Linked DNA regions of Drosophila melanogaster. The protein of the gene in region 1 purifies or fractionates together with the protein of each later gene. This does not show direct contact. Each region holds a gene or a part of one and is shown on either strand. Other genes may lie near its edges.

Region 1 (5,292 bases):
CCATGTCTTCGACATCCATCGCAATCCCGAGTACTGGGATTCTCCCGAAGAGTTTCGCCCGGAGAGATTTCTGCCCGAAAACTCGCAGAATCGTCACACCTACGCATATATTCCATTCAGTGCTGGTCAGAGGAATTGCATAGGTATGTAATATTGCTTACTCTCATGGAATGATTGGATAAACATATCATTTTCTTTGTAGGTCAAAAATTTGCCATGCAGGAGATGAAAACCCTAATGGTGGCCCTACTGAAGCAGTTCCAAATTCTACCAGAAATCGATCCGAAAACTATTGTTTTTCAAACTGGACTAACACTGCGGACCAAGAACCAGATTCACGTGAAGCTCGTGAGAAGAAAATGAGGCAGCTTTAACGGAATGGAATTGTTCACGGAACTCTGTTAGTCATAAAGTGCACAGTGAACAATAGTTTCATCCAAAGACTCCTTTCTTCTTTCTCTTGGTGCAAAAATGTCCTGTGACTAGCTTATGGCCGATAATCGTTGGCATCTCGACAGCTGCCGCCCTATAAATCATTCATGCCCTGGCGGGTAGAAGCACTTCTCTTCTTCTTTTCCAGCAGCTATTACAATTCCAACTCCCATTTCCCACACAGTGGGAGCTCCCTGTCATTTCCTACCCCTCCTATTATTTTTGAGGCAGCCCAGGAAAAGTCAAGTAATCTCTGTCCTTTAGCTCACATATATGGGAATGCAAATGCATAATGCGCTGGCGACTTTTTGTCATTTGGTTTTCCTCCTCCTGCCGAGGCTACATCCCTTTCCCAACGACTCCTTTTTGCTTTAACTGCGATTTTGACAGTTCGTTACTCAGTTATACCATTTGCATGCATAATGCAGACTCAGCTTTGTTCTAAGCACATAAAATGTGGCAAAAAGACATGGGTGACCATGGGCTCGCAAAATGCACTGTGTGTGGTGCACTGAAATAAGTTCCATCTATCTTTGGCTTCCTATTTATTTTATGAAATATTTATATCATGTTTCGAAGGGATATTTTTAGTTAGCTTCTCTTTTATATGTGGCTTACTACTACTCTACTATTGAAAATAATTATCGTAAACGCATATTTTTTAGTGTGCGCCCAACTCGTTCCAACATCATCATCCATCCTGGGGACCCAGGATTTATGGGACAGCACATGGAAATGGGTGAAAGGCAGCTCTGGTTTTAGCTGCTACTCGGCTACTGCATATTTCATTAGTGCTCTGTGCGCTAGTGCTTCGTCGCCATAAGTCAACATTAAATGGATTCCATTTGTGAGTCATGTAAATTAAATTTCCCTCGCTTTCACATGTGTCAAGCGAACGTTTGGATCTCAGAAAATCTAAGAATCGGCACCCCTCTCACCTGACTGACTGCCAAACTGCGCACCAAAAGGCGAAATAAGAAGTCGCAATATCCGCCACAAAAGAAAAAAAAAGAAGATAAGTGCGACGCACTTTTGCCTGACTGAAGGACGAAACCCCAAAAGCTCAGCAGCTCAACAGCTGGTCCTGTCGATTTGCCAGGGGAAATTAGAAGGCAACCGACTGGAGGGATGGCGATGGCGATGGCGATGCCGATGGAGGCAGAGTGAATTAATTACTTTATGCGCATCTGCGTGTCGCTGTCGGGCACTTTACACTTCCCCTGTATCCTTTTTCCCACTTCCCTTGTCCCTTGTACCCCACATCCACCCATTCCCCCGTCCAAAGTCTTCCTTCCCTTTCGCAAAACTCACACATGACGCTATTAATTTCTATTACCAGCCTCGGACGGCCTGCCTGCCATACTTCATTACGGACTTTCGTGCAATTGCCGCTTGCCCGAGCTACCTTTCAGCTCCCCTTCCCCTAGTGCACTGAGAGAAATTATTGGTGACTGCCAGCGGAATTAAGTTTCGTTGAGATTTAGGAGCAAAGGTCTAACAATCAAAAGTATGCATTAAGTTTGCGCCTTATTAATGATTTCACATGTTCAAAATGTTCAGTAATCATAATTTATAATGTATAAATATACATATGTAATTGAAAATATATTTGATCAAAAATAACTAAATTTATCATTAAATTCTTACCTAATAAATTATCATAATACGCTCGAAATAAAGGTTAAATAATTATTTTACAAGGTGTGAAATACATAATGATTTTAAATATTTATGTGAATGCTATACGAAAATTTATTTCGATTTGTCATACATGACAATCATGTTTTTCTTTATTCTTACTGAAAAATAATGTTTGTGATTGCGTTTGAAAACTAACTTTAAAGACTTCATGATGTCTTGCTTTGAATGATTCATAATAAAAGCCATTATCCTTGCACCTTATAAGCATGTCTTTTATAATTTAATATGAAAAGCAACCTAAAAATTTGTTGCCAAATATTTTCCGCAGTGCCCCGTTTTCGCGATGCCCTTGCTTGTTTGTTGACTCTGATTGGGATTAAGGTTGCCCATGGGCTCTCGGCTCGCTTTGATTGCCTTTGTGCCGCAGATGCCGTGAAATATTTCATTTGCTGCCAGTTATTTGCTCTTGCGCTCTGTAGCTTCCCCTCCCGGTTACGAATTCATTTCTACTCCGGATTTATATCCTTTTTGTTCGAGCGTGTGTGATAATCGCTGGGAGCTGGAAGCTGTGAACTGTCCGATTTCCATGGATGCGTGGAAGGCCATTTAATAAAGTGACCGAGTTCGAGGCGGCCCGTCATAATTTATTTACGCTTTTCGTCCGTCCAGTGAGTGAAGGTCAAACGGAGGAGCCCACGTGTGTGCGGGGCAATTAGGACTCACCTGGCTCGGATGTGGTGCTGGTCTCGACGGGCTCCGTGTTGGCATTGCTTTTGTCCAGGACCAGCAGCAAAACGGTCAAGGATATTAGGGCCCAAAGCGGCTTATGGCGCATTCGCTGCCTGCTCCACATGTCCAAGGATCAGATTGCGATTGCCAGAGTTTCGGCGTTGTTTTGTTTTCGTTTGTTAAGCAACCCGATGAGTCCTTTCAAATAGCAACGAATTTAACACCACTGCACTTCACGAGTTGACTTCTTAATGGGCCAAAAATAGAAATCCACTTGGCCAACTCACACACACACACTGGCGTACCGCCAGCAGTAACCCACACTCGCGCCAAACTGTATGCAACGTGTGCGCGTGTATGTGTATGTGTGTGTGCTCTTTGGCTTTAAAGTTTCACTTTTACTTAGAGTCCTTTGCGGGGTTTTATCCTTTTCGAAGCTGGGCACCTATCCTCTCGAGCGACGACAATCGAATGCCACGAGTGCGGCGAGCGTCTCGCTTTTATACCTCTCGTTGGATTCTGCGCAGCTTCGGCTCTGCTTCGTTCGGCTGCAATCGGCTGCATTCGGCACTCGACGAAGGATCGCACTCGACGAAGCTCGCCAAAGGATGTGTCACGTGCATTTTGCCGGCAAATCGTGTGTTTTTGTTTTGGTTTGGCCCATGTTTTGCTTAGTCGCTGTTGCCATTGCCGTTGCTGTTGCTGTTTTTCGTCATCTCCGATTTTCCTCTCTCGCTGCTTTCGCTTTTCGCTGTGCCCGTGTGTCTGCGTGCGTGCCCTTGTAACTCTCACGTAGCTCTCCTTTTTCCCACTCCCCCCCGAACCAACCAAGGAACACCGCCCACCCACGTGGCCAATTCCCAGCTACAAATGAAGTTTTCCGCTTGCTTGCCACGTTGATTCGGTTACTTTCCAGTTTAAAACTAATTTAATTATACTTCCTTAGTTCAGGCAGATACTTTTTACTGGTGCAGCAGTGAATCAATCGCATAAAATCAATTACTATTTCCTAATTCACTAGGGGAAATCGTTGCTGAAAATGTTATTGGCTTAAAACTGCGATTTATATAGCCCGAAAACATGAGCACATAAGGTACAATAACTAGACGACTATAATTATTTAATTGAAATATTGTATGTAGGAGATAAATATGAGAATTACATTTTTGGATACATTGGCAATAACTGCTAAAGTTTAAATTTTATGATTTTTACTTGGCGGTAAGCTTAGCAACTAAATGCAATTTTTTTGTAGCTAATTATATGTTTATAAATTCAAAAGTGTGCTTCCGTGTTTACTACAAATTCAAAGTGGGTACATTCTATTGTGGCTAAGGAGTGCAGTGGAGCCAAGTGCTCGGCAAGGGACTCACCTTTGCTGCTCCTCAGCTGCCGCTGCCCTGAGAAGTATGCTATCAATTGTGCTGACGTCGCCTGTCTGCTGGCCATTCCTTTTGGTCCTGGCCAATAATCAAGCAGCAGTTGCGGTGATTTTGAGGCCTCTGCTCTGCGACCGAAGCCAAATGGCATTTGGCATTTGGCAACCAGGTTGCGGATGCCACTTGGCCACTAATTACGCAAATGAATGCTCCGACAGGACGCCCCTTGTTGTCCTCGCAAGATAAATGTCACTCATTGGAGGTTCAGGTTAGTCCTGGTCCTAAAGCGTAACCGTAACAATACCGTCTGGGTCGCTCTTGTCTGTCGCATTGAAATTTTGCTGAAATGCGAAATACCAAATGCGAATGCGAATGCGAAACGCGCTCAACTCCAGTCGAGTGGAAAATGAATGTTTGTGTGCTGCATTCTCCCCCTCAGCTGGCAATCCAATTGTGCAGCGGCATTATCTTTTGTGTATAGTTTCTGGCATGCCGTCCTAGTGGCCCGAAACTTTGGAATGCAATCAGGCTGAAAATTTATACGTTTAGCATGTTTATCCTGCCTCCTGGCAACGAGCGGCTTTACAGCAAAATTCAATTTGCTGCCCTGCAACCGCAGGCTGAAATTACATCTCTGGTATTCCAACTCAATTCGATGCCGACGGGCCGAAGGCTAATAACCAATGATTTCCTGGGTGCCAATGAAGTGCGTGCACCTGACATGGTCGCAGCTTTTCTAGATTAAAATGCCTGCATTTAGCAGATTAAATTATTTAATCAAGACAATTACTTACTGGCTGTGCGATGGGCAGATGCAACAAATACATGGCTTACCGAATCCTCATTTCGGTAGAATGAATAATACAATATGCATAGTAAGTCACGCAAAAGGAATATTTACTTTGGCCAGCTTGGTTGGCAGCTGATTTAATAACTACACATCCAATTGTTTTAAATGAAATAATCTCCTCTTCGTTTTAATGAAATTATTGCTTTAAATAAATTCCTTGTTGTTTTGAACATATGTCAAAATAATATATTCTTTAAGTTGTAATTCAGGTTTTAGATATTCAAATATACAATAAATATTCTGAGATTTCTTAACATCGAT
Region 2 (5,280 bases), on another chromosome or scaffold:
CTACTCATTTCGGATTGGGGTAGTTGGAAATAATACTGCATTATTACTTATACTTAAAAGAAATCAACAAATTAAAATTAATAAATGATAAAATGATTATAAGATATAAGGAAACTGAAACAATACATCTATTGCAAAATCTAAAATACAACAACTAATGGGTATCAAATCGGCCATTCCTGATTAGTTTTAGACTGATTCTGGTGCAGCTGCTCTCGTTGCTGCCGCCTGATGAAATGCCATGCTTGGCGGTTGAGCGTTGAGATTTTGTAGGAACAGAAGACCGACAATCTACACCACACACGAAACTGCATGTGTGTGTGAGTGTCGTCCTGGGCTTTTGATTATGTGTGTGTGAGTGATGGAATTTTGCAGTTTTAGTTAATGTTTAGCCAGCGCTATTTTGGCCCAAAGAATGTCGCGTGGAGGAGCCAAATACTTTGACAACATCACCAGTTACATTTTCTATATGTGCACACTATATATATATATGGGGAAAGTAAGGAAAAAGAGTCCGCGAGTGTGTGTGTGTGTGTGTGTGTGCTGACGAAAGTGGTTTAGTGCTATCTTCATTTCGGCATTGGATTTGCCATTAGAGTTTGGCCAAGCGTGTAAATGAAATTTGATAAGATTAGGCTGTGCAATTGTTGCAGTGCTACCCATGTGTCCCATTCTTCATCCTTTGAGTGGATCGCCTTGCAAAGCGAGAGCTTTCCTTGAGTGGTATAAGAGTGAAACCGTTGGAAATTTTGAAAAAATCCCATTCATGCCAAGCAAAAGTTTTCGCGTTCCACAATTCATTCGGTTTTTTTTTTGCTGGTTTCGGGCGCATGTCTGGCGAAACCACGCTTTCGAAATCGAAAAGAGAGCCAGAGAAAGCCGAGAGAAAGTTCAGAGAAAGCGTGAGAGATGCGAGCTTCGGGTCTCGTGGTCCCATGTCAACTTACATGCTTACACCCCATTGTAGTAGAGTTTTTTTTGTAAGCGGTGTGATGCGTGATTTTGATGGTGGTGTAGGTTAAGTTGTAGCGGTGCCATTTTTTAGCCTACACCTTGAGGAAATCAATCAGGAAATTCTGATTAATTAATCACTCAGCTGGGCTTACATTTTGGGTTTAATAAGTAGGACATTAGAGTTTCTTAAAACGATGCCAGAACCCGGAAATGGTTCTATTGGTCTTTTATTCACCTATACGGACTTTATATATTTAATTGGGTTTATAGTCTTACTGCATGAACTTTAGCCAAACATTAGTGAAGTATTCATTGTAATCTGTGATCCTTGACTGGCTGCCTTGACCAGCGAAACTGCAGTAAGTGCGAGATGCTCTTGGTAACCGCTTTCTGAAACTCTCATTCATCTAGGTAGATGCGATTTTGAAGAGAGGCAGACATCGTGAGTTCGATGGAAACGCAAAAGAGAGGGAAAGCAAAAGGTTCCACAGGAATGCGTGGTGGAATATGTTTTTAGAAGGTTCGCAAGGGCAAAAGGGTGTTGAGGTAGGACTGGACACCCACGGCAGGGGGGAAGGGAAGTGGAAAGTCGCAAATAAATCATGATCGGGATTTCATATTGATATACTTCCATCATCATGGCAGCATATTCAAAAATATTGGTTCAAAAAACAATAAAAACATTTGGGATCCTTTCAAGTAAGGTATAAGATGATTTTTAATACAAGATATAGTCAACAAGGTGAATACTTTTCATAACTTTTAGTATTATTATCAATAGATAAAAATAAGAAGTGATTTATTTTTTCATTCACAAACATCTTTTTTATCTTTTGCCCCTGGTAGTTTATATTTCGTTTTTAAAACTTGACAATTCAAGTTCATGAAGCGTTTGAGGTAAGCTTACCTACCACTTGGCTTCCACAGATTGACAACCAAGACGACTTTTGGATTTTACAACCAAAACTCTTATACTCTGGCCCTTGCCAGCCGTTCTGGCTTTCGAAATCGAATCGGCGGCAAGTGTTGGCCCACTTACAAGGCTCACACACACACACACACAGGGAAACCCAAAGGATTCGACTGTTCGGCAAAGTCGAAAATGCGCGACCCGAGCGAAAGCCGAAGGATCCGAATCGTGGAGGGCGATGGCAAAAGTGGCCAAAGCCACGAATGAATGGCCAGGCGCTTTAGTACTGAAAAGGTCGTGGATTTGTGTAGTTGTCGTGCTCCGTTGCCGCCGTTTGTCGTTCTCGTTTTCGTTGTCGTGTTGTCGTTGTCGTTGTCGCTGTCGTACGGGCGGCATCGCATCGCATCGCATCGCCTCACATCGCGTAGCCGCAGTGTTGACCGTCCGCATCCGCAAACTGGCGAACGAAGCAATTGGGCTGGAAATCAAGAAACAAGTGCCACCCAACCTAGTCAAAAGTATATATCTCAATCGGTTATCGCAATTGTTGAATGCTGAATATACAACAACCAAATAAAAATAGAAAAACGTCAAGCGAGACGAGAGTGCACGTGCTAGAAGTAGAAGTAGAAACATCTCAAACGCCTGCGTTAAGTTTCTGAATGTGTTGTTATGCAAATCGCGTCCTTTTTGGCTTGAGGCAACAATACAGTGAGTGTATGTGAGTGAGTGCGATTGGGAGCGTGTATGTGTGTGCCGCAGTTACAGTGTACGACTATATATATGTGCGCTTGTGTACGCGCCCACAATGCATAAATCAAAATACACATTATTGAGCCATAAATAAAGTTCGCATCGGCTGCTACTTTAAATATTGGCCTCGCGGCTGGCGGCGATTCGAAGACGAGAAAGTTAGCAGCAGAAGCAAAGCAAAAGCAAGGCCGACGAAATCGAAATTTATGCCTCGCACCCGCCAAATACTTTGCCATATTTTTTGCTCAATTGCCTGCCGCTGCTCCTCCAACTCCTTCAGCTCCTTTTCATATGATGTGTGTGCGTCTCGCTGGCTGCATAAAAACTCGCTTAATGCCAACACGCCCTCTACAGGAGCAATAAGCAATAAGCACAGCAGCAGCAACAACTCCATTTCCTCCTAACCCCTGAGGGCTGATTTTATTACAAAGGCCGTAAAAAACGCCAAAAAGCGGAGTAAACGCCACAGCAAAAGGATACAATACGGCCGAAACAGGGGTAAGTGCATGTGGGAAGTAAATATCTACCAAAATAAACGTACATATACTTTTGTACCGACAAACCTAATCTTCAGACGAAAGTGAGCGCTCAAAAGTATGCTAAGAATAATAATGCAGGCCATTGTGCTAAGAAGGTTGAAGCATTAAAAATAGAAACATTTATTCTATTCAGCTTGGAGGTATGTGGAAATGTAATGGTATTAAAGTGAAAACAATTCCACACAAAAGGCCTGAATACAAGAAATAAATTCAGTGCTTAATTCAGTGCAGTCTTCTTGTAATAATAATTCGGAATTGAATGAAAATAAAGAGTTTTATTGGAAACAAATCTAAGACGGTGTAGGAAAATTGGAGGATTTAAATATCTTTTAGGAATTTCATTCCTAATTCCCTAATATTAAAGAATCATTTTGTTGTCAACGAATGGCAGCAAAATATTGTATCAAAAAATGGTAAAACAATTATGGAAAACCAAACGCTTGTTACGTTACTTATTAGTTAAAGGAATTTTAAATCTTTTCAAAGCTGTTGAACACAACTTGTGCTTTCTTAAATTCTTCAGCTGCGAATAAATTTTTTATAATCATTTGTCAGACTTTGCTGGTATAAAGCTTTATAAGTTTAGTCATCAGTATTGCTGAAATTCCCTGCTGATCTCTTTGAAGGCACAACGCCAAAGTGGGTCACACAGATGAGTGGAACTTACAATTTGTCTGCGATTGTGTCAGGGATAATATTTCCCATTGCCTTTGATCATTTTGTTGATGCCGGGGTGTCAGTTAGTCAGTCTGAGAAGTGCGTTAGTCTATCCCGAGGAGACATAAGCCATGGAAATCATATTAAAATGCTGTCTGTGCATAACCTACTTTTTATTTCTATATACATACATATATGGCAAGCAGAGTAGTATACAACTCAGTGAGTCTCGCACCCGGTTGCATTGTGGACTGGCTGGCTGGTAACATTCGTATTCGCATTCGCACATATATTGTTGCCATTTCACTTTTGCTGAGCACGTCTTCGCATGTGGATGTGGATGTGAATGTGAATGTGAATGTGGATATGGGTAAGGGTATATGTGTGGCTATGGGTATGGGTGTTGGCAAGGCTGCAGGCTCTTGCCAAATGCGCTTTGTTGCCGCCATTGTCAACATGGCCAGAAACGAGGAGCGGCAGCAGGAAATTTTTGCATTTTTCGGCTCAGTCAACGCAACGTGGCTTGGCAACAGGCCAGGGATGCATCAGGGGTGGGGAGCTATCTCAGATCTGATTTTCTGCAGAGCTTAAATTATTAAAAGCCTGGTCCAAAAGTTAAGGCTTCTTCTCGCATAAATCAAGCTGGCCAGGGGACAACCTGGCGTATGCGCAACTTTAATAACATGAGCAGCAGCTGCAAAAGTTTCGCCTGTCAGGGGGAGCAAGTTTAATGCAGCATGTAAATATTGTCATGACACACGAAAACTTTCACTGGCCCTTTGTTGACAGGCTCTTGAGGACAACGGCTGAAAGGATGCGAGTTGGTGTGTGTAGACAGACGAGATTTATGAGCACAAATGGAAGACGAAGCGTGTGACTCGCATAAAGCTCGGAGTGAAAAGTTTCACAATTAATTTTAATAGTTAATAGCGGAACTATCCAAGATGAATTTTGGGACATCCGATATAAGCAGCAGGTTGCTGGGAACAGCGGAAAATAAATATATATATATATACATAAGCAGAATAAACATTTTCCTAATATTGAATTATTTTTACGTTACACTTTAACCCTAACAAAATTACATATGAAAAAACCAGATTTAAATGTATTAACTAATATATGGGCCATTCAAATGAAAACATGATAATATATTGTAGTTTTGTTTTACCTTTCGAAGAAAAGGGCCATAAAAAAGTGAATTTAATAGGAATCGATTACATAGTTTGTCAGATTTAAAAAATACAAATTAAAGACTGAATCACAGTACATTTTTAAAGGTTTTATTTGTATGAAAGAATTGGGTTTTGGAGAAACCAAAAAAGAAAACCAATGGGTACATTACAGGAGCCCACAAATCGCGATATCAAATGACCTGAGGTGTACTAATTAAAACCATTTTTAAATTAAACAACGCTGAGGAATATCACGTTCGTACTTTAATCAAATGAAATGATTTAATTTGTT

The links.
Region 2: the proteins of hig (region 1) and side-VI purify together in Drosophila melanogaster (affinity purification with western blotting; one large-scale study listed by BioGRID). This does not show direct contact.

Annotation. Positions count from the first base shown.
Region 1 is NT_033778.4:9,243,969-9,249,260, forward strand, and holds the start of hig (hikaru genki), read right to left. Parts: upstream 3,282-5,292; 5' UTR 2,927-3,281; coding exon 2,797-2,926; intron 443-2,796; exon of another isoform or gene 364-442; coding exon of another isoform or gene 203-363; intron 144-202; coding exon of another isoform or gene 1-143. Other genes in the region: Cyp4p3 (cytochrome P450 4p3), read left to right, coding at 1-143, 203-363.
Region 2 is NT_033777.3:10,970,235-10,975,514, forward strand, and holds the start of side-VI (sidestep VI), read left to right. Parts: upstream 1-2,146; 5' UTR 2,147-3,115; intron 3,116-5,280.